Linked DNA regions of Notamacropus eugenii. The protein of the gene in region 2 interacts with the protein of the main gene of each other region in a pairwise test. Links are inferred from orthologs where the notes say so. Each region holds a gene or a part of one and is shown on either strand. Other genes may lie near its edges. The genes, in order: NCK2, TRIP6, BYSL and NEDD9.

What was found.
Region 1: the proteins of TRIP6 (region 2) and NCK2 interact in binary tests that used the Homo sapiens proteins (3 or more experiments, as listed by UniProt). The two-hybrid records come from large-scale screens. The link is inferred for Notamacropus eugenii from reciprocal best matches to the Homo sapiens genes TRIP6 and NCK2.
Region 3: the proteins of TRIP6 (region 2) and BYSL interact in binary tests that used the Homo sapiens proteins (3 or more experiments, as listed by UniProt). The two-hybrid records come from large-scale screens. The link is inferred for Notamacropus eugenii from reciprocal best matches to the Homo sapiens genes TRIP6 and BYSL.
Region 4: the proteins of TRIP6 (region 2) and NEDD9 interact in binary tests that used the Homo sapiens proteins (3 or more experiments, as listed by UniProt). The link is inferred for Notamacropus eugenii from reciprocal best matches to the Homo sapiens genes TRIP6 and NEDD9.

Annotation. Positions count from the first base shown.
Region 1 is NC_092877.1:200,902,492-200,910,500, forward strand, and holds the start of NCK2 (cytoplasmic protein NCK2), read left to right. Parts: upstream 1-5,006; 5' UTR 5,007-5,097; intron 5,098-5,704; exon of another isoform or gene 5,705-5,841; intron 5,842-8,009. UniProt on the Homo sapiens protein: Adapter protein which associates with tyrosine-phosphorylated growth factor receptors or their cellular substrates. Maintains low levels of EIF2S1 phosphorylation by promoting its dephosphorylation by PP1.
Region 2 is NC_092873.1:79,910,871-79,917,884, forward strand, and holds the start of TRIP6 (thyroid receptor-interacting protein 6), read right to left. Parts: upstream 3,019-7,014; 5' UTR 2,881-3,018; coding exon 2,775-2,880; intron 2,428-2,774; coding exon 2,345-2,427; intron 2,254-2,344; coding exon 2,128-2,253; intron 1,912-2,127; coding exon 1,534-1,911; intron 1,021-1,533; coding exon 921-1,020; intron 790-920; coding exon 620-789; intron 356-619; coding exon 177-355; intron 1-176. UniProt on the Homo sapiens protein: Relays signals from the cell surface to the nucleus to weaken adherens junction and promote actin cytoskeleton reorganization and cell invasiveness. Involved in lysophosphatidic acid-induced cell adhesion and migration.
Region 3 is NC_092873.1:102,945,143-102,952,776, forward strand, and holds the start of BYSL (bystin), read left to right. Parts: upstream 1-4,627; 5' UTR 4,628-4,854; coding exon 4,855-5,122; intron 5,123-7,634. Other genes in the region: MED20 (mediator of RNA polymerase II transcription subunit 20), read right to left, coding at 2,767-2,921, 4,172-4,365. UniProt on the Homo sapiens protein: Required for processing of 20S pre-rRNA precursor and biogenesis of 40S ribosomal subunits. May be required for trophinin-dependent regulation of cell adhesion during implantation of human embryos.
Region 4 is NC_092875.1:182,734,869-182,742,132, reverse strand, and holds the start of NEDD9 (enhancer of filamentation 1), read left to right. Parts: upstream 1-4,251; 5' UTR 4,252-4,329; coding exon 4,330-4,341; exon of another isoform or gene 4,342-5,711; intron 5,712-7,264. UniProt on the Homo sapiens protein: Scaffolding protein which plays a central coordinating role for tyrosine-kinase-based signaling related to cell adhesion. As a focal adhesion protein, plays a role in embryonic fibroblast migration.

The DNA.
Region 1 (8,009 bases), on a different chromosome or scaffold from region 2:
GCAGGTGGACATTAACAGTGGAGTTAAGAGGCCCAGGTTCAAGTCAGAATTCTGACATTTATAAGCCATGTGACTTTGGTTAGGCATTTCAACGCTCTTAGGCAGTTTCTGGATATAAAATGACTTTGTAAATTGTAAAGCACTATATGAGTAAGTAGTTGCTAAGATCAATATTAATAACACTAGTACTGGGGTACTTTAAGATGATGAATTATCAAAAAACGATTCAGTTACATTCACTTCCATCAGGGTTTCTTAAATTTTTCCACTGCAGACTTCTTGTGACAGTGTTGCATGGCCTGAGGGAATGCACAGTGCAAAGTGCCCATGCTTTGTGTTCAGAACCAAAGCTGCAGTGAAGGTGCACAATGCAACAGGGCAAGTACTACCAGAAACAACTCGAATTCATTACGCATTTCATTTTCAATTAATTTTTGGTCATCAAGTGTTCAGAAACCTTTTACCACTGCCAAATTTTTCACGACCCCATATAGGGTAGTGACCCACAGTTTAGGAAGTGATAAATATTAAAAAAGGAAAGTGGACTCCAACTAGATTTGACAAAGAAATTTTCCCTCTGTGATTTTAACATAAAGGCAAATTTCATCTTGCAAATTAGCAATAACCAATATGGCTATTTATGAGATTTTGCAAAAAACCCCACAAAACTCCAATATAAAATAATTTTGTTCTACCACTTGTCTCTAGTAAATACTTTTAAAAGTAATTCAGGGTTGCATTGTTCTTAGTTTTCAGAAAATGTCTTTACTAAATGTGACATGTCATTTTAAAACTGATGTATGGGAAACTAAAAATGGCTCATATCCCTTAACAAAAATAGAAGTCAATAGTTACTATGCAGCATGGTATATATGCATAAACATAGAAAGGGAATGAGTAATTTTTAAACATGCTCAATCCCCTATTTGTTTTCCTATGCAATTGAAGTCAACTTTTATGAGATTTTCTACACCTCTTTTTCCTTGTCTCTTGGAAAGGAGATAATTCAACCAATAAAGTCTTACTAAAGACCCAAACATCATAAACCTATAGTAATTAAATGCCATTGAACTCATATGGAACAGTATTGTGAGTTTTATTTGGCTATATGTGTTTAAATTTTTTGTAACTGTATTTTTTCTTCAATCTTCACATATCATTAAAACCAATTAATCAATCAACAAGTGTTTATTATGTGCCATGGATACAAGTACAAAGAATGAAACAATCCCTACTCCAAGTAGTTTACATTCTTTGACTTATATAAAGGGCCCCCAAGGGCCAGTTAGGAAACACATTGGATAGGGCACCAGTCCTGGAGTTAGAAGGACCTGAATTCAAATCAGACCTGTACTAGCTATGTGAGCCTGGGCATGTGACTTAACCTCAAATGCCTCCAAAAAAAAAAAAGGGTCCAAGACCAACATTTAATAGAGAACCAAGTCAGAGTCAGGAAGATAAGTTCAAGACCTACCTCTAACATACTGGTTATGTGACCCTGAGTAAGTCACAGAAACTGTGTAGATCCCCAAGCTGCTTTAGCATCTGCAGTGGAAGTGGGTGAGTTTCTGCAAAAATGATATGACAATTCTAGCTTAAAAAAAAAAACCCCTCCAATCCTGCCACCTTTTTGTCCTTTAATAGTGGGAGGAAGGTGTTTAATGATTGAAGATTTCTTTTTAGCCTTTTCCTCTAAGTTTACACAGATAAATAAAAACTTAAGCTCTGTGACCCCATCCGTTTTTAGGGGCCAGTTAGCGAAGCTAGAATGAAAGCTTAGGTGCCTCTTGACGTTATTTTAAAACAGCAAGGATTTAATGAGAATCTATCAGGAGTTCAGCATTGCTCAGACTGTGATGGGCCCTGCCCTCAAGAAATTTATAATATAGTCAGAGGACTATTAGCATAGATGTAGGAAATAAAGAAGCAAAGTGGCAGCATGCATCAAGTAAATGCTGTAATACAGATTTGAAAATAAATTACTGGATATCTGAGTAGTTGAAGAAGGGTCATGTATGGAGAAAAAAAGAATTTGAGATGGTCCTTGAAGGGCAGGAAGATTTCCAGATTGGGGAATAACATATACAAAGGCATGGGAAGTGGAAGTAAACATGGCTTGGATGGGGGTGGTGAGGCAATTGTGACGAAATTGGCAACGTTTTAATGTTAGGGAGAAAAGAAACTGGATAGGTAGGTCTTAAAATCAATCAATAAGATTTTAATAAGCAACCTGGTATTAGGCTGTGAGCTACTTAAAAGCAAGGGCTGCTTTTTTTTTTAATCCCTTTCTTTGTATCCCAGCTGGGATATAGTAGGTACTTCATGATTTTCATTGACATAATTTGCTATATATCAGGCACAAAGGATACAAATCCAAAAGTAAGCCAGTCCCTGCCCTTGAAGGAAATTTAGACATGACATAAGAGGAAATGGAAAGTTGCTATGGGTTTTTAAACAGGGATGTGATATAAACAAAAGTTGTATTTTAGGATAATAAGTCACGATACCATGACTATGTTTGATGGATTTCAAAAAGGCAAGAATATTGAGGCAAAAAGACAATGACGAGACTGGGTAAAGATGAGACAGTAGAATGGAAAGAAAAAAGCAAAATTGAAGGATATTTTAAAGAAAGAACTGATGAACTTATAATTAATATTTCAGAAGTGGAAATGGATTTCTGAGGTTAATTCTAATCCCACAATTTACTTATATATTTGATTGGACGGTGGAACTGGAAAAGGGCTTACAGATGATATTGTCCAATTTCCTCATTTTGCAGATATGGAAATTTGGATATGAAAGACAAAGAAAGAGTCTAAGATAAAACTAAAGTTTCTTTGTGGAGGGATTGGGTATGGGTATCTCTGACAATAGAGAAATTGGGAAGAACTGGTTTTAGGCAAAAGATGATTTCCAATGTATTGCATAAGAGATGATATTACATGTAATTGGAGATGTCCTTTATGAAGCTAGAACTAGTATGACAGGCAAGCCCTACTTTGGGGTAGGAGGGAGGAGGAGGGAATGAGTTTATAGGGAGAAAAGTAAAGAGACAAAGAAAAGGGGGTTGCAGGAAAAAAACCACAGTTTGGAGCTAAGAGGATTAAGTACCATTAAGGGAGAGGAGTTCATAGTCAATAAACTTTTATGAAACATCTACTATATGCCAGGTACCCTGCTAAGTGCTGGGGATACAAACAGTATAAAGACAGTCCCTACCCTCCAGGAGTTTACAATGTAATGGGAGGAAACAACACACAAAAGAAAGTTGAAAAGGGAGTGGAGGGAGACTTATGAAGGAAGGAAAAGGGGTATGGTGGAGGTCAAAGAAGGCCAAGATGAGTGATTAAGATGGGAAATGAGATATCTGAAGAGATGTCAGTCCTGTTCCACTCCTTAAATGGAGAGATTTATAGCTTCATCTTCCAATCAGAGGGGCAGAGGATATGGATGAGGTGTGGTTTACCACCAACAAGGCTGGTTGTTAAAAATAAAGGAGGTGAAGAAAAACTGCTCTGAAGTAGAAGATCCAGGGTAGTGAGGTATTACACAAACCACAATAATTTAGAGGAATAGAGGCTTTGAGAAAGTGTCACAATTCAGAGTTAGCAGGATAAGACAGAAAAGAGGACTGGACTTTGGGGAATTTAGAAAACAGTTTTCAGTAGAGTGGCAGGAGCTGGATGTAAGTTGTAGGGGATTACAGCAAGAATGAGAACACAATGAAGACCCATCTCCCTCCGTCCCCAATTTGAAGAGAAAAAAGATAAAGGCAGTGAGATCAAAGGTTTGCAAAACAAACTTGAAACTGTACCTAACAGATCAAATTTTTTTGAAACATTGTTACACCTTTGACTTGCACCACAGCTAGGCAAACATGAATCAGAAGCAGAGCTACAGATAAAAGGTAGATTTTAACACTAAAACAGAGATCACAAATGGAGATGCTGAGACGGCAAGAATAGGACCGATATTAGACAACTGTAGTTACTCAGTTAAATGACACAGACAATAGGCAAAAGACCTCTGACTCTTCCGAGCTGGGTTTTACCAAGTTACCTATAGTAGTGGAGGTTATCGTTGCTTTTACAAGGATCTAGGAGAGTGCTTTCCTTTGAACTGAGTACAGGGGCTTAGTATTTAGAATATTAGCTATATGCCTGGTGGAAGCCCTTTGGGGGAGAGAAGACACCTGGATGTCCATGTGAAAAGTGAAACTTGTGTTGCTGTAAGCTTGTTAAATAGTAAAGGGAATTCTTTACAGGCAAACCATAACTTATTATAGGGGGAGAAGACCAATCGCATCACAGATGACAATTTCATGTGGGACCTGACATTTAAATAATTTGCTATCTGCCTCACAGCAATAGACTGTACTATCAGAACCTGACTGAATTAAACAGATGATGCACAGTCAACAAAGGCCGGGTTTTTGCCTCTTCCATTTCTGAATTGTTTCCAGGAGGGATACCTGAAATTAAAACGTATTTTGTGGTCAAAGTAAATACATGCAAATATCCCCAGAATGCAACTTTAGGGAGGAAAAGGGAGACTTTTCACCGTCATCCATCGCAGGCCTTCTTTCCTGCGAGTTTCTCTGGGGCTTTGTTGGGTGGGTGGATGGGTAATCACTCAATAGCTTTAGTATCTGGATAAGAAATCAAAGAAATAACAAAGGCCCCCCACGAGGGCCCTTTGTCAAAGGCAGAAATAACTGCCTTCCTTTCATTAGCTCCCTGCCCCAACGACACGCACGTGCACTTTAAGGTCGCAAGGGAGCCCGGCTCTCCCTCCACCCCGTCTACCCACCACCGCGGATGGGCGGTATTTGCCCATCGCTAAGCGGCGTGCCACCTTCCCGAGCTCACCGAGGAGTCCTTGAACCATTTCTATCCCTCCTGCTGTAGAGCCCGCCGGTCTTTTTGTACCCGGCTCTCGTTGGGAGAGGTAGAAGGCGAGAGAGTGAGAGCAGCCTTTCGGAGCACCCCGGCCTCGGCCCCCACTGGGGCTCCGGCAGACTTCTCTCTGCCTGGAGGAGCGCATCCCCGCTTGGAAGGCTGCCGGTGCCCCCCTGGCCCAGGCACCCAGAACTCCGTAAGTGCAAAGGGGCGAGGCCGTGCCCGGGGTCGCGCCCCCCTTCCCAACCATCCCCGCCAGCCCCTCCCCGGCCGGCTGCCCCGGGGTCAGCGGCGTGCCAGCAGAGCCCTGCCCGGGCGGGCGGCTGCAAGTGCCATTAAGCCTGGAAGGGCAGCGAGGTGGGGGAGTAGAGGGTAGGAGTGGGGGGGGGGGGGGAAGAAGGCCTCCAGCCGAGCCCACCGCGTCACAGCCCGGGCCGGGGGAGGAGCAGCCGAGGAGGCGGCGGCGGCCAGGAGAGGAGGAGGAGGAGAAGGGGAGGGGAAAAGGAGGAGGAAGAGGAGCCGGAGGAGGAGGAGGAGGAGGAGGGAGTTGTGTGCATGGGGGGAGGGGTTGCCGCCGCCGCCGCCAGCTCGGGCTTGGTCCGGCCGGGAGCCGCGGACCGGAGCGGGAGGACGCCTGAGAGGCCAGCGATCCGGGGCCTGGGAGCCGCGCTGCCGGCCGCCGGGGAGGAGGAGGAGCAGTAGCCGGAGGAGTAGAAGGAGAGCGGCGGCCGCGCCGGCCCCGGGAGAGTCCGCCTCCGCCGGCGGGGGGCGGGGAGCGGCAGCGGCGGCGGCGGAGGGGAAGGAGACAAAGAGCGGAGCCTCCTGCGGCGGGGAGCCCGGCCTCCTCCGCCTCCGCCTCCGCCCGGCCTCCCCGGCTCCGGGACTTTGGGGCGCCGCAGCCGAGCTCTCTGCCTCCCCCTCAGCCGCCCCCGCTCCGGAGGTAAGAGCCGGGCCGGGATGGGGAGGGGCTCCGCGCGCGCGTGCGGGGCTGGGGACGGGGACAGCCCGCGGGCTCGGGGTGCCGGCACCGCCGGAAACTTGGGCTGATGGAGCGGAGTTGATGTGGGGCGCCCCCTTCCCGCGAGGAGAGGCGGACGGGCTGGGCGCTGGCGCGGAGCGGGGTTCTCTTGGTGCCCAGGGGGGCCCGGGGAGCCCCCGCACCCCAACCTTGGCGGAGGCATCTGCACTTTTCAACGCCCCTTCATCCCCACCCGGCGGTCGCTTTTCCTGCCTCCTTTCTTTTGCCTCCTGGGTGGGTGTCGCTGTTTGGAGGTGGAGTGCGTGGGGCGCCCGGGGAGGAGGAGAGGTGGGGGCGGGGGCACGGACCGGTGGGCTGCTTCTGCTTGGGGTAGGAGCGCGGAGGTGGGGCGGAACGCGGGGGGTGGCACGCACGGGCGTTGGGCTCCGCTTTGTCGGGCGGTAAGCAGAAGGACCGAGGTGGTGGTGGAGGTCTTGTCGGGGAGGGAAGGGAGGCCGATGGGGCTCCGGTCTGCGGGAGTCCGGGCTGGGGGTGGTGGCAGGAAGCGCCGAGCTCCGGAGCCCCCGGGGAGGATGCCGGAGCCGCCCCCCCCCCCGAGCCGGGGAGCTCCTTAGGGGGAGAGAACGAGACCCTTCGATCCGGGGGGATGGAGAGGAAGCCGCGTCCCTCCCCTCTCGTGCCCCTGTGTTGGCAGTGCCCACCGCCTTACTGCCAGCCCTCCTGGAGGGGGTGTTTGCCAGAGGCTCGGGAACGTGGTCCTGGGCCACATTATCCAGACGACTTAGTCCTACTTGTTACTTGGACTCAAGTTTCTCCATAGTTTTACGCTCTCTGCTATTACTGGAGGCAGTTGCCGTGTAAAATTCCCTTATTGTTTAGGGTCTGAACTCCCAACTTGCCCAGAAACACAACTTACTTTGTGTCGTGTGGAGGGATTTCACTTGCGAAGCACTTTAATGGGCAAACTGTAAAAATGCTGGAGGAACTGACGTCTTTCTGCTGTGGATACTGAGCACCTGACATAAAGGAGCCAGGCATGTTAACAACTTCATCCAGCTTGTGATGGACACGACATATCTCCATGTCGCTGGCTTTGTGGTTAATTCATCGCGTTTTCTAACAATCCTTGAGAATATAGCTGACTTACAGATACTGACCAGGAGGCAATGCATGGGGCATTTTGGGGGTCAGGAAGGATAGGACCTGTGGTTTGATTGAATAAACTGGTTTTTTTTTTCCACATTGAGAGGAGCGTCTCCACATGCTCATTAATTTCTTAGTCTATTTCCAAACAGACCAGTATCTTTAACTTGCTCCGGAGGATGGAGGAATGTAAACCTGGCAAGAAACAAGAAGAATTAGAGGCTGTGTGATACAAAAAGCCCCCTAATGTTACAGAAGGGATATGCTTAGTAGAATTCTAGCCTGTATTCTTGAACCAAACATTAAAGATGATTGAGTATGCTATTAATGCAGGTTAGCACCTTTTTCTTTAACTAAAATTGTTTCTTCCCTAAATTTCCGGAGATTAAGTGACAGGTCAGAGGCAGGACTTAAGCTCTGAATTTAGGATTTCTGGGGTCTGTGGCTACTATTCACTATACCATGGTGGAACTGGGCATATGCAAACTGGGCATAGTTTCTTGAGATACAGTATGTTGGCAAAGAGAAGCCCATTCATTTGTACCCATTTACTAGCTATGTGACCTTGGACAAGTCATTTTAAACTTTTAGTGCTTCTGGGCAGCTCTCTAAGATTAAGTTGAAGAAAAAGGTGCTGGCCTGCATTAATAGGAGTTTATTCAGTCAAATCACAGTTCCTGACTCCAAAACCATTGCCCCATTCATTGTTAGGCAGTTTTAGTTATAGAGAAGTAGTAGAGGAGGTTTTCTCTTGGACTTCCCTACACCAGAGTTGTCCAGCCTAGCTGAATTTGGCCAGATAAAAATGTAATTGGGAAATATTTAACAAAATAAAAATACAGTGAAACATAGTGTTACATTTTAAAGTTAGCTTAATATGTGGCCCCCAGCGATCCTTCTGTATGTATTAGTGGTCCTGGGCTTCTATTTGAATTTGACTTTAATGAAATCACAGGTGGTTCAATCCCTACCCTTCCTAAAACCCA
Region 2 (7,014 bases):
GGGCTCATTTGTAAAAATGAAAGGTTGGACCAGGTGGCTTCTCAAGTTTCTTCTGACACTATATGATTTCTATGATCCCTATGAATGGGGTAAAGATTTGGGGGAATGGAGATAGGGGAATGGAGTTGTTAAGACCACAGAGAAGGAAAGGCTGAGTGAGCAGGGATCATCAGGACCTGTGGAAGTCTTCAATACAGTGGATCTGGCTGGTGGCATCCACTGTGAAAGGAATGCCATCAAGACCTTGGTGACACACAACACAAGTAAAGCAGCCAGGGTGATAGGCCTTCCCCATGGCCCGTAGAATCCGGTCCAAGATAGGCTGGGAGCACATGGAACACTTCTCCAAAGTAGCCTGTTGAAGAAGTCCCACAGTCAACTTTCCAGTCAAACTCCCTGCCAGAACCCAAATGTCTGGATCCCCAGCCTCCCGACATCTTGACACTCAACTGAGTCTCAAACCCTATAGGGAATAATCTGAAGACATGTACCTTACCTGGCATAGTCCACATTCAGACCCAGCTGCCCTTATGGACTAAATTATCTACTTCCCTAGCTTGGCAATTCTTTCCGATCCCAAATCTTCCTTCACTCTGAACCTTGGCTTCCTGTCACTTACCACATAGCAGCCTTCACAATACGCCTTTCTCTCCACTGCATAGAAGTGCTGGCCCCGGAGCTGAGCCCGGCATGTGGAGCAGACGAAGCAGCCAACATGGAAGACACGATCGAGGGCAATAACCCCAGCACCATCCCCTACCACGTCCTCCCCACAGCCCCCACATCGGCCTAAGGAGCAAGGCAGGGAGTGGGGAGGGGGAGAAGGGAAGAAAGAAGAGAGATTCAATTTTAGTCTAGAGAGTACCAGAACATCCCTGCACCCCCCTCAAAAAAATGCAGATGTTTAGAACCTGGCTCACCAAAGTATTCCCCACTGGGTGGATGGTTCATGTCATGTACCAGCTTCTTGGTTAGTCTCTCCAGCTCTTCCTCAGGGGGAGCCCTGCTGGGGGCAGCCTGCTAGGGGGCATGGGAAAAGGGGACCAGAATGAGACTCAATCCCCTCTGTCCCCTGTCCTGCCCCCAAATCTCCAAGAAGGAGGAGCTATGTATTGCAGAGAACCACATAATAATAAAGAACAGTTTACAATGAATAGCACTTTAGAATTTCCTAAGGTAGATAAGGCGTATGATTATCTTCATTGTAAAAGAGGAGGAAGTTGGAGTGAGGGGATTTGCTTAATCACTCAGTAAGTGTTAAAGAGCTGGAGCTCACATTTGGGTCCTTTAGCCCCAAATCCAGGGTTCCTCCCATGAGAACCAACTGCACGGTCTCTCTCATCTTCAAACACAATAGCCAAAGAAAATGGAAGAACCCAGGCCACCTTGGTCCCTTGAGTGGCCTCTTTCCTCTCTCCTAGCCACCCAACTTTCCTTTAAGGGGTTTTGCCACCCCTACTGTAGAATCACTCCCACCCATTTCCCATCAATGGCCAGTCTTCCTGGCTCACCTTGGGTATACATCCTCCTCACCTTAGGTATATATCCTCCTGTTCTTCTTCCTCCTCTTGGGCCAGAGGCTCCAACATTCTCCTCTTTGGCCCTGAGCTCTCTGTGCCCCTCATAGGAACCCCCCCAAGACTCAGCCCAACTGGTTGAAGGAGGGTAAGGAGCTGGGGGTGGGCTAGAGGCCTGAGGGACACCCCGCCAGGACTGACCATACCCCCTCACAGGCTGAGCCACCTTCACCTGGACCGGGAAGGCAGGGCCAACTGGAGTGCTGGCTGTGGTATAGGAGGCAGGGGTAGGGCCCCCATAAGATGGGGCTGGAACCCTTGGTGGAGTGGTCACTCCTCCACCTGGTTTCAGGAAACCTGAACGGTAGGGAGGGGGCCGAAGGGGCTCGCATGCCTAAAAAGAAATAAAGATACCATAGGATGAGTGGGATCTACCTTGACAACTTGGACTTCTTTCATGCTCATATATTATGACACAACCCAAAAGCCCTGGAATGGAAAAGGTTAGGGGATTTGACATCTTGTAGAAGTTATAGGGGAAAAGATCTTTCTGTTTTCCAAGGGTATGTTATTGCAGAGGCAAAAGAGGAGGATTCTGGGAGGGAGTCACCTGTCTGTCTGGACGACATGGGGCATGGCCCCTACTGCTGTCCAGGTCAGCCAACATGTTGGTCAGTGAATCTATCTCTGCATCCAGACTTCCTAGGTGTACGGCTCCCCTGTCTGGCCGAAGCCCCTGTGGTCAAGAAGAAATGAGGAAGTTTCTGGACCCTTTTCCTGGGAACCCAAACATACAGCCCCCACCTCAAAATCCTTCGACTTCCCACCTGTATGCTTTGGGAGGCTCCGGGGCATCTCCCCAAGGCTGGTGCCAGTTCTTCTGGTCGGCCTGAGCCCTGATAGCCTTGCTCTGTTGGGAAATGGTAGGAACTGCCTAGACACGAAGTGGGCTTAGGGCGCTGGTTAGAGGAGGAAGACCAGGAAAGGGGAAGAGAAAAGCAGGGTTCCAGGAACAAGGGAGGGAGGGCGTGGGGCCGATTCACTGCTCCCCGAGGCTTCCTGTCTGCACAGCCCAGGTGCTAAGAGAAAGGAACTGGGAAGCAGCGAGACCTGCTGGGGCGGGTGGGGGTGGGGCACGAGGGTCTGCAGCAGGGGCGTAGGAAAAGCAAGGGAAGCAGCGGGCCCGGAGGAAGCGAGGACCAGGGGGGCATCGGGCACCCTCCACTCCCTGGGTCCTGGGCTGGACGTGCCCGTTACCTGCTCCGTGGGCCGAGGGGCCGGGAGTGCCCCGCACGAGAGCTCGTGCCTGGGGGAGCCTGCTCTGCTCCGGCTGCTTTGGGGGGAGCCAGGTGGGGCCGGACATGGCAGGCAAGGCGGCTCTCGCCACGAGTGGAGGAGCGCGTGGGAACTCCGCGGTGGCGTTCCTCCGGCGCCCACGGAGGTGGCCCCCTTCTCTGGTCTCCACCCCGGCTCTGGCTCCGGCTCCGAGACAGAAGAAACTTTTTCTGCCTTCTCTTTTTTCTTCAACATCAATTTGGGGGAGAGCCACGCCCCCAGTGACATCACCGCATTCCTAAGTGATGAGGATCACGTGGCGGCCCGAGACGCCTCTGCCCCTCCCCCCGAGCCCCCAGCCCCTCACCGACTTCCCCACGGTCTCCCTCTGACCAGGCCCCCTCCTCTAGCTCCACTTTCTGGGGCTTCCCCGGGAAGCTGGGGATGGAGGCTGGGGGCAGGGGGCTGAGGTCCTGCGGGGCTGGGGGCTGGGGGCTGAGCCTGGGCTCAGAGTTGAAGAAAGAAGACCAAGAAAGACCTGGGATGGCTGGGAAGGCTCCATAATAACCCCACACCTTTTTCTTTGGATTCACCAACTCACCCACGCGGGTGGCCCCCGCCCCTGGCTCTCTACCTTGCAGCTCACACAGCCTGCCACGCTTCGCCCTTGCATTCCCTCCCTCCACTGGCCAAATGCTAAATAGTACTGAATAAATAGTAACTGTTTCTCTTTTACCTAGGAACCCCGAGGGTCTTCTCCCAGTTTGTTTTTGGTTTTTTTTTTTATTAAAGGGACCATCCCTTGAGCAACTACTTAAAGAAGCGCATTCATTGAATGGGTGTGTCTCACCCAAAGTGAGAATGTGGTAAGGCCTTAGCCTGAAAGGGCCAGGGTCTCCCAGTGCATCCTGGGCCATCTCCAGCTGTCCTGATGAATGTCAGGCCACTGGACCCAGATGGCTCAGGAGGAGAAAGTGAGGCTGGTGACCTTGCACAGCCCTGCCTCCCTCAAATCAAAGTCAATTGCAAGGCGTGTCATCACCTTGATGTCAAGGTCCTCTTCCAGAAGGACAAACACAACTGGTCAAGTAAAAAAAGGAGTACCAAGGCTACCCCAGCCCAAGCTGCTTTCTACTTCCTTTTGAAATGGACATTATTCCCCCCGGCTCCAGAGCCCCTGGGTTGAGAAATGTCTGTTGAGTTTCTAGGCAGGGTTGGGCCTAGTAGCCACTTACTGTTAGTGGCTACACTTTCTGTTGTACCCCTTTGCCTAGCAGCTGCCTGCGCCCCCATCTCTGTTGTACCCCTTTGCCTAGCAGCTGCCTGGGCCCCCCTCTCTGTTGTACCCCTTTGCCTAGCAGCTTCCTGGGCCCCCATCTCTGTTGTACCCCTTTGCCTAGCAGCTGCCTGGGCCCCCCTCTCTGTTGCATCCACTTGCCTAGCAGTACCTAGGAACCCCTGTCAAAACTGTTCTGTGAAAAATGTGAGCTCTTGGAACCACAAAGCTGTACCCAGAGGTGCTAAGATGCTTAAAAGGCACACACACCTTTGTTCAGGGCTGCCCCCTTAGAGGACAGCTGCCGGCTAATAAAGACGCTCCCAGATTCTCAATTAACTCTTGCCTGTGCTTGTCTTGGTCTGTCCATTTCACCTTTCTTTAAAAAAAAATACATTATATGCACACACGCACATATATATATATGCACATGCATACTTACACGAACTGGTAATCTGCCCTTCCCATTCTTGCCCTACTGAGCAAAAAAATAAGTAAATAAAACTGTCTTCATACGTGTACAAAATAAATTCCCACGTTGGCCATTCTTGAAAAGTGTTTGTTTCTGCTTTTTAAAGTCCATCAGTTCATCCCGTCTTTGGGTTTTTCCTAAACAATGCTACTATGTTTATTTTCTTCTCTGTGTTGTGTACGCAAGCTATTTCACTGTTTGATTTCTCCTGTTTTAAACCATGACCAAATTATTTTAATGATTATTGCTTTGTACTACAGTTTGAGATTCAGCAGGATGTAAAATTTTGGGGTCTTCTCTTTATAACGGTGGCATTGTATAAGTTGTTTTTCCAGTAGTGCATCTGTTCATAGATGTCATCTCAGTTTTCCACTGAAATTATCAAATTCTCATTTCTTATGGCACAATAATATTCTGTTACAGTCAAATACCATAATTTTCCCCCCCATAGGAGGAAAATCTCTTAGTTTCCAATTTTTGGCTACTAGATCCAGTCTAAATATTCTTATATAATTAGGTCCCTTTCCACTCTCTCTCTTGCTGAGCTATTTAAGATATAGGCCTAGTGGTGGTACAGCTGAATTGTGGGGTATGCACTCCTTTTATAACTTTCTGGGCATCATTCTGATGGGGTATAGGCTCTGGGAGCCCCCTTGAACTCTCCTTGAATCTTCCCACTTGATCTGGCATTCACCTGTCTATAAACCTTTCATTGAAGGTAGCCAAAGGGGTCTCAAACCCATTGGTGAGTTAGGGGGGTGTCTATCCCAAACATGTGAAGACTTCCCCTGGTGGATTGGGCGGATGAGAACAATTTGTTCCAACAGCCACGAAGGCAGTTCAAGCAGGCAATGTGGAGCACTTAGAGCTTGGTTAGACACCAAAGACACCAAGGTCATCCATTGTATCCTGAACCATTGCTAGTCATCTTGATACTGTCCTGCCACTGGACTATGATGACTCTGGAGGAGAGAGTGAGTCTGACAACTCTGTGCAACTCTGCCTCACTTAAATCCAATTTACACATGAATCAAAAGATATCACCCTTACTATTTTACTATTATACCTCAAATTCCTGTGGCGACAGGCAAGTGATTAAGCAGGAGGTGCTGCTGGGAGCTATAGTCACAACCCTGCACACAGGCGGCCCAGGCTGTAGGGTCGTTTCTCACTGGAAGCAGCAGTGGGACTTGGCAGCCTCCTGGTGTCTGAGCAGTCTTTTAAGGATCTCACTGCTCACCTCCTGGTGTGACGAAGGAGGGTAGAAAAGGTGCCCTAAAAATTGTCTGCTTATCCAACCTTGGCCTGATCACCACGGCAGGCAGGGAATCCTACTCTGCGGTGAAAACATAAAAAAATGTACAAAATGTACAAAAACATCTGCAAAGATGATTCCACTCACCACTGGCACATGGAACATGTGCACACTTAGAGACAACACAAAATACAGTAGACCTTGAGTGTACCAAAGTATGGATCAATTCTCTGCTGCCTGTGCTAATTTTGGCCTAATAATTAACACCTGTTGGGATTGGAAGCTCAATTCCGTGTGGACAGTCTCGGGCGGGTAAAGGTGGGAGCTTCTAAATCTTAGAGCTCTCACGAGACCCTCCCAGGAAACGGCAGGGAATAGAGGTGAACCGAGCTAGCTCGGGTATTTCCGCCTCTCCCCATGAGAAACGTGATGGGAGAGAGATCTCCCCGCCCTCGAGATGGTCCCGGATCTGGGCACACTATTGTTATCTAACAGCATGGTATTTAGATGCAAACTATGCTGCTGGAGAGTTAAGTAGGATTGAGGAAGCCTGAAAGCTCTCTTAGCACGTGAGGAGCCAAGAGGACAGTAGGCTCCGCTTCTCTTCTCTTCTCTCTCCCCTCCCCCTCTCTCCCCGCTTGTACTTCTACTTCCAATCCCTTAAGATCTTAGCCTCCTTAGGAAATCTCCCCCTCTTCCTCCTAAGGAAGACCCCCCTGCACTTGTAACTAGACCCTGAAATAAAGCTCAACCCTTGTTCGACTCTGGAACGTCCTTTCTCTCATATGAGCATCCGGTTTTGGCCAACTGAAGACCTCGGAGGTGAGGTAAGAAGACTCGGGTAGCCCACACAGGCCTCTAGGCCTGGCAAACACCAAGAAAACAGGTACTTCATCAGCCGCCACCACACCATCTATATGTGGTACTATTGGTTACAACAAATGGAGAAGTCTTGAGTACTGTGGATAAGTTCACTTACCTTGGTGGTGTACTTCCCAGGGATGTACACATTGATATTGAGGTTGACAGACTCATTGCCAGAGCTAGCTCCGTGTTTGAGAGGCTCCAAAGAAAAGTTTGGGAGAGAAGAGGTATTAGCCTGACTACCAAACTGAAGGTCTACAGAGGTATGCTGACCTCATTGTTATATGCTTGTGAAACATGGACAGCCTACCAGCGCCATGCCAGGAAACTGAATCGCTTTCATTTGAACTGACTT
Region 3 (7,634 bases), about 23 Mb from region 2:
AACCCTCATCTAGAACACCGCATTTGGTTACGGGTGCCAAAGTCTGAGAAGGACATTGATAAACATAAAAGCTCCAGAGCAAGGCAACCAGGAAGGTGAAGGGTCCCTAAGTTCATGTTACGTAAAGATCAGTTGAAGAAATTGAGCATGTTTAGCTCAGGAAAGAGAAGGCTCAGGGGGAACAAGGTAACTACATTTAAGAGGCCTGAAGGGCTCTCATGTGTAAGTGGGACTGAAATTTATTCTGTTTGGTCCCAAAGGCAGAATCAAGAACAAAGGATGCAAGTTGTAAAGAGAAAAATTAAGACTTAATATCAGGAAAAACTCCCTCACAATTAGAGTTATCCTTGAAGTGGTACAGGTTATCTCAAGAAGTGGTAGATTTCCCTCCCTCACATGTTGTCAAGCTGAGGTTAAACAACCATTTGTGAGGTGTGTATAGTAGAGATTCCTTTCATGCATCGTTAGATTCTATGGGCCACTGAAGTCCTTTCCAAATCTTAAATTTATGATTTTGGGAGACGAAAATAGAAAAGAGAAGAGAAAAGGCATTATGTTTTAGCGGATAGCAGCCAGCTCTCAAGTCTAGGAAGTCTTACTTCAAGTTCTAACTCGGACACACTACATGAGTTACCATGGACAAGTCACTTACAAGGTCCCAGGCAACTGTTGAAGACTACAAATTACAGACAGGTGACTAATCTGTATCAGCAGTGGGTGCTCTCCACATTAATGAAGTCATAGGTTTGGATTCCTTCCCAAAGTTCATCCTGTGGTTATCCACCTTCTAGTGACAGATCCTCTCTGATATGAGCTAGACTGGAATGGGTATGAAAGACATGCTATCTACCACCAGATGAGTAGTCAAAGCCTTTCTAGTTTGGGAAGACTACCAGAGCTCGGTAGGTTATATTACTGGTTATATTTGCCATGGTTTTTCCTTTAAAATGTTCATTAAAAAAATTAGACAACAATGAAATCAGGTATCTTCATAGTCAAGGCTTAAGAAAATTCCCAATCAAGCAACAGATACAAACAATTACAAAAGATGAAATTGTCACTTTCAATTACATAAAATGTAAAAGCCTTTACATGAACAAAATCAAAGTAACTGAAACAAGAAGGTGAATCATTAATTGGAGAGAAATGCCACATTTAATATCTCTGGATAGAGGTCTGATATCCAAGATCTATATAGGGAACAAAGATATATAGCCACTCCCCAAAACTATTCCCCAATAGATTAAGTGGTTTAAAAATGAGAACAGACTTCAAAAGAATAGCAAACTATTAACCACAAGAAAGATTACTTCAAATAATAAGAGAAATGCAAATGAAAACAACTCTAAGAATCCACCTCATACCCAGCAAATAGGTCAAGATGCCAAAAGATGGGAAAGATCAATGTTGGAGGGGCTTCAGAAAGACCTGGATACTAATACTATATTGGCAGAACTGTGAGTTACTCAATTTCTGGAAAACAATTGAGAATTATGCAAAAAAGGTGTGGGTGCTAAAAAATGTCCATACCTCTTGGTCAAGAGACCCTACAGATAAGCCTATACCACAAGGAGGTCCAAAATGGAAAGTCTCATATTATACCCTAAAATATTCATAACAGAATTTTTTGGAATAGCAAAGAATAAGAAAACAGACACCAATGGACAAACTAGGGTACATGAATGTAACAGATTATTACACTCTAAGAAATGAGAAATATCAAGAATTCAGAGAAGCATGGAAAGAGTTGGAACTGATAGAGAGAACTAGGAATTCATTTTCACTTCCCTCTCATCCTCAGACAAATAGGCAAAATATACACAAAGTTAACAATGTAAACAAAAAGACCAAGACGAAAATAAAAAACATGAAACTAAATGCTATGTAAATTACAGTAACCAAGCTTGGCCCCCAAACATAGCTTCCTCTCCTCTATGTATAAGTAGGAGACTGTGGGCATGGACTATATAAAACGATTAGTGACAGTTCTTTTGCTGAACTGTTTCCCTCCAACATTCTTAAAAATTTTCTTTTTTTCACAAGAGATAGCTTGCTGGGCAGAGGAGAGTGGGTAAGGTTATAATTCAAAATGAAGGCAATATAAAAAGAGATAAAAAAATAAGCTTTAAAAATATTTTAAGTAAGTATCTAGGTTTTGCCTCTCTAGTTCAATTGTGAAGATTATCTTTTCTAAATATCCTTTTACATGTGTATACCACTTAACACTTTTCAAAGCACTTTCATATCTCATTTTATCTCCAAAACAACCTTTTAAACTGTAATTCCCAATATACAGCTGATGGAACAGACAAAAGATTTGTCTAAGCTCACAAAGCAAGTAAGTAGTACAGAAAGGACTACAATTTAAGGTCCCACACCCCCTATTCCTAGTGTGTGGGTCTTTTCATCATTTCTACTTTTGCATTTTAATTCAAACCATTGGTACAGAGTTTCCTTCCCACAGAGTGGACAGTATATTGAGCCTCAGTGAATGGCAAAGGAAGTGGCCAGAGTGATAGTATAGGGAGTTCCAAGACAGGAAACAAACAAACAAAAAGTGTAGAAAGATTTCCTCTTGGTTCTCAACCTTTAGACTGAAAAAAAACACCAAAACTCTTACAACTGAGCGTCAGGAGTTCAGAAATACTAATGAATAGCCTTGAGCAGAAAACTGTCTCAGCCAGAAAGATGTCTAAGGACATTAGCATCTGGAGAATCTACTAAGTCTGAGCAAGGTTCCAGCTGTCCTACTTACCACACACTGACCTTGGCTGCCCATGGTAGAGGCCGCTGTGTGGTAGGTCTCACAGTCCACGCAGAATGTCCCCTGCTTCTCTGCCCCTAGCAGTTCCAACTTCCTGGTCAGGATCTCCACGGTCTGCTGGACACTCTTACCCTCAGCCACAGGCATCTGGGACACACTAGAAGGGTAGTGATGAGCCTTCAGGGTCCACATAGATGTGAACAGGCTCCCCCAGCTTCTCATTCAGCAAAGGAAGCTGGTAGCCCCAGATCCCATCCCAGCCAGAGTCCCATCCCTGCTGGGAGATGCCACTGCTCATATGCGAGAAGCAAAACACTACAGGCAGTCTGTGTGTGGCTTTGGCCCAAATGAGAATTCTCCAGAAAAAGAAAGATAAGGATATCCTAGGGATCACACTAAGCATATCATTCTCCCAATGCAGCAGATGTTTCTCGTTTTCTGCTTTTTACCTAGTTCCCTTTGCTGTCATACACCTTTCCCCTCACCATGCCAAGTCTCAGAAAGAGATTACTGATTGAACTCTGGGGACTACTAGCTGGCAGTCAGTAACTTGCAAGTGCCAAAAATAACTCTAGAAAGGAAAGGTCTTCACAAGCTCTCAGATGTGGCACCAAAAAGTTGTGCCCTTATCTGATACCTTCTTCGGTCAAGAAGCATTTACTAAGCACTACGTGTGAGTTACTGTGCTAAGCGCTAGAGGGATACAAAGGAAAGATAGGGTTGACAATGACCCCTCAGCCCCAGATGTGAAAAGCAGACCACCAGGGCACTGTTTCTCCTTCTCCCTCTTCAACATGATGGGTTTTCCAAGCCGGGCCCAACAGCCTTCAGAAGCTGGCTCCTTTCTCCCCCTTTCAGTGCCAGGGATAATGCTCCCTCCCGCCATCCCGGGAGGATGGTGATCAAACTCTGGTCAGGCAGGAGATCCCGTCCCCCTGGTCCAGCTCTACTGCGGGGTGTCTCGGGCTGGAGGTCGGGCGAAGGAAGAGGAGAAGCTGAAGCCTGCCACTCAGTGACCTCCAGGGCTTCCTCCCGCCCTTCGCCTTCCCCTAAGAACAGGGAACTGCCTTAAAGTCTCCCAGAATCTCTAAAAACCTACAATTAAAAAAAAAAACCTACAAAACCCAAGCGTAAACTTCCCCCCAACACACCCACACCCCCACCAGGCCTGCAGCGCCCCCAAAGCGGGGACGGGTTGAGAGCTGGTAGATGGAAGGGCCTGACTCACACCCGAGCCCAGGCATCCCGCCCCCACCCACTCATCCCAACAAGACCGGGAAAGGAGAAGGGTCGGGAGGAGGCCTCTGCGGGGACGCAGCGCCTTCTCCGTACTCCCTCGCGGTCCGGCCCGGGTGCCCAAGGAACTCTGAGACCTCCCCCCTCCACGTGCAACATTCGCGGCCCTACCATGTCACCCCCATGCTTCCAGGTCGCACGGGAGTGTGTACGTTGGAGGAATCCGACGCCGCGGCCTCGCCTCTCCCTCCGCTCTCCCGCAGGAAGCCCCACTTCCAGGCCTTGGTGGGAGGTGGACGGAAAGACTGTAGGGGAGAGAGAAGGGGGAGGGGAGGAGGAAAAAGAGGAATCCGGAAGTGATGCATTAAGTCGGGCCTCGGAAGTGACGTATAAATAAAGCGTCTCAAAGAGAGCACCAGCCGCGGAGTTGCCAGGACTTGGGCGATCACCCCGACTAGGAGCTCCGCCCACTTTCCCCACCCTAGAGTAAGGCGGGAGGTTTCTAGGAATTGACTCGCGACCTAAATACTCATCTCTGGAAGACAGAACAAATCCAAACCAGGGCTACAGCTACAGTGGGCAACTACGAGTCCAATTCACATAACGCGAGCCGTCGTACGGCGGGGGCCCCGGGAGGGGCCTGGTGACGTCTAACTTCAGGGGGCGGGGCCGGTAGGGGGGGCACCGGAAGCTGAGTTTCCGGCCTCCGATCGCTGGGAGGCGCTGTGTTCCGCCAATGGAGCTTGTCTTCTAAATCTGGGAGGTGCAGAGAATGACGCGCTGCTTGGCGCCGGCGCAGTCCATATTCCTGCCAGTTCCCCACGTGTGTTTCAGAGGAAGGGGTGGTGGAGACCATGCCCAAGATCAAGTCGTCCCGTAAGGCCGGAGGGCAGGCAAAGCATGCCCCTCTGGCGGACCAGATCCTGGCAGGGGACTCCGTACGGCCCGGAAGCCGGGAGAAACGGAGGGACCGAGGCCGCGGGACGGAGGAAGAAGAAGAGTACGTGGGGCCCCGGCTGACCCGGCGGATCCTACAGCAGGCGCGAGAGCAGCAGGAGGAGCTAGAAGCTGAACATGGCTCGGGTGACCAGACAGCGCCGAGAAAGCCCACCACGCGGCTGGGTTAGTGAGGGGGTCGAAAGGGTCCTGCGGGAAATAGGGGAGGGGGAGGAGCCGAGAAACTGAAGGCGGAGCTTCAGGGAAACTTGTGGGTTAGTTACCTTGAAAGCACACTCGCTAATCTTCCACCTCTCCCTGTATACTAGCTGCTTTCTTACTGCCTACAAACATGCACGCGTCTCCCTTATCCTCAAAAAACCCCCACTTGAGCCTTCCATCCCCCCCTCCATCCGACTATATCTGACTCCCTCTCTTCTGCAGAATTTGAGCAGTCTGTTTACAATAGGTGCTAACTTCCAATTAACCTTCCTCTCATTCAATTCTTTGCAATCTGCCTTCTGATCTCATCATTCTACGGGCCCTGATCCCTCCAAGGTACCAGTTATTTCTTACTTTGCAAATCTCTACAGCTTTTGACACTGGGTCGACCTCCCTCTTCTTCCTAATACTCTATTTTCTATGGGGTTTTGTGACACTACTGTCTTGATTATGTCCTGGTTCAGGGTTGGGGAACCTGCGGCTTCTAGGCTTCTAGGTCCTTGGGTGTGGCGTTTTGACTCAGTCCAAGTTTTACAGAGCAGATCTTTTTATTAAAGGGATTTATTCTGTGAAGTTTGGATTCAGTCAAAGGGCTGCACTTGAGGACCTAGAGGGTCACATGTGGCTTCGACGCCGCAGGTTTCCCACCCCTGTCCTGGTTCTTTTCTGCCTGACAGTTCTTTTGCTGTCTCCTTTGCTGGACATTCATCCAGGTGAAGCCATCTATTTGTGAGTGTGCCCAAAAACCCTGAACTGTTCTGTCTTATTCTTCTCTATTACTTTATTTGGTGATCTCATCAGTCTCTGTTGATTCAATTATAGTCTCTTATCATACATATGATTCTTATAGAGTTTTTTATCCATCTCCAACTGACTATTAGACATCTTGGTTGGTATATCCCATAGACTCCTCAAAGTCATTATATCCAAACCAGAACTTGTTAGCTTTCCTCTAAAACCCTAACTTTTCTATTACTGTCAGGAACCTAAGAGTCATACTGTACTCTCTTCATTCTTTCTCATCCCACTATTTCCAGTCAGTTGGCAGGTCCTGTGGATTCCATCTTTGTAGAAACTTCTGTATGTTCCCTTTTTTCCTCTTGACACTACTACCCTCCTGGTACAGACCCTTATCACCTCATCCTTGTCTATTGTGTAACCAAGTCACTCCCCAGGTCAGTCCGTCCTCCACCAGAGGTGTCAAACTGTTCTTCCTAAAGTTCAGATCTCATCATGTAATTGTGCATTTAGTAAACTTCAGTGGGTCTTTTATCTCCAGGATCAAATATAAATCCTATTCAGCTTTTAAAGCCTTTCATAACCTGACCCCTTCCTACCTTTGCAGTCTTTTAATATTTTACTGTCTTCCACATACTCTACCATCCAAGGATTCTGGTCTTCTTGCTGTTCCTTGACCAAGACACTCCATATCTCTACTCATCTTTTCATTGACTCTCCCCCTTGCCTATAATTTTCTCCCTCACCTCTGCCCTCCTGGCTTCCTCAGCTTCCTTCAGGTTTCAACTGAAAATCCCACCTTCTGCAAGAAGCTTTTCCCAATTCCCCCTAAAGCCTTCCTGTTGTCTTCCCATTAGATTGAGTTCCTTGGAAGTGTCTAATGTTTTTGCCTTTGTATACCTAGTGCTTAGCACATAGTCTAACACATAGATGACACTTAATAAATGATCATTAACTGGTGACTCAGGCATGGAGGCGCATAGGCCATGAGAGGGAGAGGGAACCCAAACAATGATGTTCATTCATTTTCCTTTCCATCTCAGTAGACTTCTCAGAATTTTGCACCTGCATAGGATCTTAGAGGACATCTGATAAGGGAAAAGTGTCAAACATAGCATTTTTATTTGTTTGTTTACATCTATTGTTTAGTTATCCTTTTCTCACTTTTCAGCCCAGACCTCTCTGCTGCTTTTACTACTACTACTGACCACCCTCTCCTCCTGGATAGTCTCTCTTCTTTAGGTTTTCAGACAGTTTGTTCTCTTGCTTCTCCTACTTCTCTGACTCCTTTGCTGGTTTATAATCCATAATCACACTACTTAACTGTAGTTATACCCCAGTAGTATGCTGGTAAATGTTTAACAATCAGCTCTTCCACATGCTTTTAAGCTTAATCTTCATAATTAAGTTTTCTTCATATCTTAAATCTAAATAATCAGCAAAAAAGTAAATCAAGCTCTCATTAGTAGCATTTGCCATTTTCCAAGGTATAAATCCTTACATTGAAAATCTAACAGTCCCAAGAATAGTTGGGGCTGGCTCCAGTACATCCCTAGTGTACCCCAAGACTATATCCTGACTATGATCAAATTTTGTGATCAAAATTACCTGTGCCTGTTCACTTAAGCGTTAGCTGAAATAAAGTGAAAATATCTCTATAGAGCAGACAAAGCATTTTTATACATTTACTATGTGCCAGGTACACAAATGACTCCTAAATCTCTTTATCTGACTCCAG
Region 4 (7,264 bases), on a different chromosome or scaffold from region 2:
TGTGCCATTTCCCTCCCTACCCAACCATTCCTTCCCCCCTCCTCCTTTCCCCTCCTTCCTCTCTGACAAAAAGAAAAGAAAACCTGAAGCACAATGCTAAAGGGAAATGAAACCTTGGCCAGCACCCATCCACCAAAAGCTCCGTCAATTTTTCTTCCCCAGGAAAAAGCAACTTCTGTACTTTGCATCTAAGCTGTCTGAAGAAACTTTTGCCAAAGCATCAGTTTTACTCATTTGTAGGAAACACGGAAAGCAGACAGCCATGTGTGACCTTCACTGACTGCCGTGCAAGACAGACTGCTCAGCTGGGGCTTGGGGGCTTCAAGCCAACAGGAGCGAACACTTCAAGGCATCCCTCTAAATGAGGAAGAATGAGAAGGGAATGGGGTAAATCATCCTCGGGACTGAGTCCTCCAGTTTATAGGATGTTCAGCATATGGTGATGGAAAGAGCTCTGGACAAGAGAATCAGGAGATCTGGGTTCAAGTATGGGTGGTGCTGTTTCCTAAGCATCTAACCTTGGACCATTCGTTTCACTTACTCACCTCAATTTCCTCACTTCTAAAATAAAGGAGTTAGACTAGTTGACTTCAAAGTTCCCTTAGACCTCATATACTCTAAGACCCAATCTTTTCTAATCTGCTCTAATAAAATGAGCCATTGCAGTAGGATAGATAATAAAAACAGCTAGGTGGCTCAGTGATTAGAGCACTGAGATTACAGTCATGAGACATGAGTTCGAATGTGGCCTCAGACACTCATCAGCTATGTGATCTTGGATCAGTCACTTAGCCATGTTTGACTTAGTGAATCAAATGAGCCGAAGAAGAAAATGGCAAAGCACTGTAGTATCTTTGCCAAGAAAACCCCAAATGGGCTCACAATGCATCAGACACAATTGAAAACAACTAAGTAACAATAGAAGATAAAGGAAGAAACACTAGATTCTGTATAAACACTGATACACAGTAGGGAGATAATCAGGAAGACCTGATTAAATTCTGTCTCTGACACATAGTGTAATCCCTCTGAGGTTCCTTCCCCAATTCCAACTTGCACCTAGAGGGTGGCTGCTACTATGCTCAGAGCCCTAAGGGTAATTCTGAATGGCTGGACTTCTACTACTGTTGTTCACCCACTCCACAACTGTGTTTCCCATTGACATCAGCCATCGAAATTCAATTAGCTTTGAGGAAAGGGTATTTATAGAGGGAAGGAAGGAAGGAAGGAAGGAAGGAAGGAAGGAAGGAAGGAAGGAAGGAAGGAAGGAAGGAAGGAAGGAAGGAAGGAAGGAAGGAAGGAAGAGGAGGGCGTGAGGGAGGATTTATTAAGCACCTACTGTATGTCTGGCACTATGATAAGCACTGCAGATTTCTCATTTGATCCTCACAACATCCGTGGAAGATGTTCACTCAATGGAGTAAAGGGAAATAGAAGTGAAGGGAATTGCCTAAGGTCATACAACTAGCAAGTATCTAAGGGTGGATTTGAACTCAGGTTCTCCTGACTTCAGGTCCAGCACTCTATCCACTCTGCCACCTAACTAGTGGTACATTCTCTCACAAATACACAGAGACCAGGGGAAGAGTAGGATGATGGTAAGCCACACATGTAGAGAACACGTGGATTAAGAGCAAACTTGTAATTCTCAATTACTGGAAGTCCTTCCTTGAGTCCATAGTCAGCATTCTTCTCCAGTACAAGAGGTCATGTTCCCTGGAACTGCTTCATCCTTCTGCTGGCTGGCTAGTTCTCTATATACATGTGGCCATGTTTGCCTCCAGTGTGTGCTCTAGATGCTACTATCCCATCTAGCTATTAACATGGTCATTGAGAGAGAGAGGGAGAGGGAGGGAGAGAGAGAGAGAGAGAGAGAGAGAGAGAGAGAGAGAGAGAGAGAGAGAGTGTAGGGGATGGGGAAGAGAGAAAGAGAAGAGCCTGGCTGGAATCCTCTGAAATGAAATCCTCTACCACTAGACCAGTCCACTATTTTAATGGACAAGTGCTAAAATTTTTCCAGCTACTTAAAGACCCCCAGGGGTATGGTTAGATTGTTCTGGTTAATTACACATACTGTATACTTCTCCACCCAATTACAAAAGAGTTCTCACATGGATAAAGTAATCACACAGTGCAGACAATCCTGTTCACATGCCTTTAAAACCTAATCATGTCTCTGAGGTGGAGAGTTTCCCTTCCTTACAAGCATAACGACTATATGGCCTTGGGCATGGCACTTAACTTCATAGGTAATTTTCCATGATTACACATTTCAGAGCAGAGGCTGGCCTGTATTAGTAGAGAGGCTTTCTTTCTCTGGAGTTCATTACACTAATGAAATCACAGGTCTGATTAAAAACAAAACAAACAAACACAACATTTGATTTTGTTTCTCCAAGGAAATGAACTATGGTCCCATACAACAAATGTAAGATCCCCAAGTGTTGGAAAATGTGTCAATACAGGCAAGTATACTTTTCTCCCTGAGCTTGTTTCCTCATCTTTAAATGGATATGAGAAATCTTGCAATGACCTACTTCAATTCTACTCTACTCAACATGCATTTACTATGTTTCCCCCTGTAATGCCAATCAATGCAACACACCCGAGGGCAGGTGCTGTGAATATATTTGTATATTTATTTAGGGTTGAATTGCAAAGTAATAAGCTCTCTATTTACTCAAAACCAAATCCTATTCAAGAAACCAAAGCGTTATACAATCAGGAGATCCCAAGCCAAGGTCTTCCCTTACACAGCACATCCCCAGTGGTAGCAGAAAATATAACACCATCTACCCCTAGGTCACAATAGGTTATGATCCCCTCAATTCAGAACAAAATGTACAAGTCCTCTGGGGGGTATGTCTTTCTCTCCACACTGCTGTTGCAGGCTCCCACCTGGCATTCTCGGGTGCACACATGCTTTGATGAGCCCAGAGAGTCCAAGTCCAAATCCTAACACTGTTCCAGTCTCCGCTTCAAAGTCCTGAGGGGCAGCTGGGAGAAAGCCAACAGGGTGGGTCCCAGGGGACCACAGCACTTCCCCCATCCCACCATAGACAACTCCGCTTCCCTGGGTCCCAAGTCAACCCAGGGGCACACGGCAGGAAAGCATACTCACTGCTCCTGTCCTGTTGTAAAGTCACCATCTTGACACAGGGCTAATTTGTGAACAGAGGAGTTTCTCCTCCTTCAGGGTCCGACCACTCCTGGATCCTGCCTGGGTTCACATGCAGACAGCTCCCTGCTCCTGCTCCATATCCCACCTCATGGGAAAAAGGACTGCTCCATTCCAAGCTCTACCTGCTCTTGCCTGGGTCCAGGTACTCTGGCCTGTACCACCCCAACTCCATGACAGCTTATCTTCCTCCAGCACATGGGGAGAGGGTTACTCCAGTCTGGGCTCTGGGCACAGCAAAATAATACATTAACCAGAAAACAACAGATAACTAATCCAGTCTCACTAAGCCCACACTCTCCTTTGGTACTTTATTCCAGTCCAGTGTTTCAGTGTTCTCACAAGGGTTGGTATCAGAGGTGTCTTCTCTCTATCAGAGGTCTCCTCTTCAAGCCTTGATAAGTGATTCACATTCACAGCTGGGGGGGCTCCTTAATAATGGCTAAACATCCTTATATGAGCAAGCCCCCCCAAGGTAGTATCTTGCCTCAGAACATATATATGTGTGTGTGTGTATACATACATGTACATATACATATATATGTATAAAAGGGTGTGTATATATATATATATATATATGTATATATATACCCTTTTAACTAATAAGCTCAGAGCAAGAAGGCACCAAACCTTTGTTACTCAGCACAGCTATGAATTACCAGGGTTCAAAGGAGATTGATCCTTCAGATATTTACAATTTAGTATAAGCCTGGGAAACTGAACTCCAAGAAAAAAAGAATCCCACCTTGCTTACACTTTTCCTCCCCCTGCCCAATGTGCCAAGTATTCTACAGGTGTATCTGTGATATATTTTGGGAGTTCAAAGAAGAAAGTCTTACCTTTACGGAGCTTACATTCTATTAGAGAAAGAGGGGAGAAGGAAGCACTTTGAAAACTCCCAAATTCTATGGAAAAACAAACTATTATTTTCATTATTATTTCCCACTTTCAAGCTTTCAATCTTTCTTTTCAGGAGCCATCGATGATCATTTCTATGACCCCACACCCCAACATGAGACCTGCTTTTGGAAGCTTTTTGAGGAGCTATGAAAAAGAAGAAATCTGTAATTGAATTGAAACCCTGGAGTCACTAGCTTCCTACTCCAGAGCCCCATCATTCCCTGATTTAACAAAGAGAAGAACTGAGAAAAATGTGGGAAACAGTAAGTTGTGATTGGACAGACATATTTTATTTAAGTACTACTTATCTATGTTGACTCAACAGGTGTACTAATATCAGTGAAATGATAATGCAAACTACTTTCTCAATTCCACCAAGGCTTTTAGGTAATATTGGAATAAAAGGACTAATTTTGATCTAGGCAGTGAGACTTTGTTGTGATGAGTCTTTAACACGGACAACAAATCTGAGAATTCTCTGGATGGTCAAGGCAATGCCAGGAGAAATGCCTCTTCCATTCTAAAATCTGACAGGGAATAATCTGAAATATTTCAAGAATAATCCATGAACTAGGGCTAGTGGCTAAAAACATCTAAATATTGCAGCCTTATTCAGGGAACAATTTCCCCAGGTTGGGAATGATTTGGATCTCTGATGTCTCCCCTACTTTTTATTCTTCTATTTTTCCTTGGGGATGAACACAAGATTTCATTGCTGATCATTAAACAAAGTCCTGGAGAAGAAGGGGTCATATCTTACAAAAATCATTCTCAATCACTTTTCCTACTTAGGACAGACAGTGTTGTGTCAGTAATGCTTAATGGTTTGGTGAGAAATGAGATTGACTGACTGTGATGGGATTTGTAGACTCTTTGTTAAGGTCTGTTATATGAGCTTTCTGCCTTATGGATAATTGAAAGTTAATTGCCTTTGATGTATGGATTGGTTTTGCAGATTTTTTTCTACTCTTTTTCTTTTTATTAAAATTCTTTGGTATAAGGGATAACTCTCTAGATGGAGAAGATATACAAGAGGAAGGCTATTGCTGTTCAGTCATTTCAGCTGTGTCTGACTCTTGCTGACCCTATCTAGGGTTTGTTGGGTTTTGTTATGTTTTTTGGCAGAGATACTGGAGTAGTTTGCCATTTCCTTCTCTAATTCATTTTACAGATAAGGAAACTGAGGCAAACAGGGCGAAGGGACTTACTCTGGGTCACACAGTTAGTAAGTGTTTGAAGCCAAATTTGAAGACAAATCTTCAAACAAATCTTCCTGACTCTAGGCCTGGCACTCTATCTACTCTGTCACCTAGCTACCTAAGAGGAAGCCTAGGAGATGTAAAAAAGGAAAGATGTCAGTAAAAATTTATTTTCAAAAAAGAAAACTAACTTCCTAGTACTAAAATATATATTATACTATTCAAGCAGTAGTGGTAATGGTAGTATATGTTAGGCTGAGCTAATGGGGTGTGGGGGCAGCGTTGTCATTCCCTGTCACTGACCTTTCACCTTTGTATGAATCTGATTTCCCCTTTTCCAGCCATTCCCTGGGTTCTTCTCAGAAATTACTTTCTCAGGCTATTCCCTTGGCTTCACCCCATTGGCATGACTTGGTTTTCTTTATAAGCCATACCTACAGGGGGAAAAAACAGTGGAAAAGGAAGGAGTCAAGATATACCTCCCATACCAGAATTTTATCTTAGCCTCCCCCAACCAAAGCTGCTGACGAGTTTACCTATAATGATTCAGGTTTAAGTTTCTCTCTCTGCATCAGTTAAGTTATAAAATTGAATCAACAATTCTCTTTTGTTCATTCTGAGCCTATAGGCCAGGAAATAGCCCTGTAATTGTAAAATTTATCTCCCTCATTCTCACCTGCCTCCAACACCCCACCCCCAACCCCTGGTCTTTTGCTCTCTCTGATACATTTTAGTGAAGAAAAACAAGTCCCTAATGATATGGTTAACAATGTTGTGACAGTTTTTTTTTTTAAAAGACAATTGAAGACATGGTGAGGAGGAAGGAAAATCAGGTTTATAGAATCAAACATAAGCTTCAGGAACAGATTCCAGGTTTCCTGAAAATGGAGAGGCAGGGGAAAGGAGAAGGTTTCAATAATCCTTAAACATTTCAGAGCAGAAAACATTTTAAAATATCACAAAATGTCAATTGTAGATCAATGTCTTCTTCATTCCGCTTATTCATTACTGAAGGAGTTTCTTCAGAATAAGCAGGTCTATTTAGAATTCACTGGATTTCAGATTCAACGTGGACCTCAATTACTGCAAATGGCTCTATTGATGCCCAATTTTTCTAAGGCCAATCTTGGTGTCAGGATATTTTGAGGCATTTTGATGCCTCAAGCTCACTTGTCAGTAAAAGCGCTGTGCTGAGCTTGGCAGAAGACTTTCCTCTCACTCAAAGTCACAGTGAATGCAAGATGAACATTCCAACAGAAGACACTGGTGAGCTGGGGGGGGCCATTTAAGTCTAGTGGCAAGTAATCACCACCAGTTATGACTGCCCCTGCGGCACAGTCCAGTAAAATAGGATTTGCCTAGATCTGCTTCATGGCACCTGGATCCTGCCTTTGAGGCCTGTATTGGTGCTGGCCACTTCCCATTATTACAACCCTGGCTCCCATTTCCATGATGGTTTTTCTTCAAACCACTATTTTTCCATTCAACAACTCGTCCTCATCCTTAGGGGCAGTTTCTCTCAAGTTAGCCTCTTGCTAACTTGAAATATACTTTCTACTCCCTGGTTTCCTCTTTTCCTTTCCCTTAGTTTTAGAGGGCTGACGTCCATCAAAGCCTAGCTCTAAGTACTCACAGGGTCAAGATAGCTCCCTTGGGGAAGAAGGAGAACTTAGATTTCTACTCACCAATGGGATCCAGAATCTTGTCATTGTATATATACACAGAAAAGAGTTATGACAGCACTGATGGAGGGCTAACCTTGGAGTCAGGAAAACCTGTGTTCAAATCCTATATCTGAAACATACCAGCCATTTGACCATGGGAAATTGTTTAACCTCTTAATGACCCAGGCAGCTCAGTACAATTACAGATAAACTGTCAACCTGCGAGAGTAAAGGGAGTTTCTTCAATGGGAATTCCCTATATAGATAAAATTACAGATCCAGTTCCTTCCCCTTACTTAAAAAAAACTCTAAAACCTCAATTT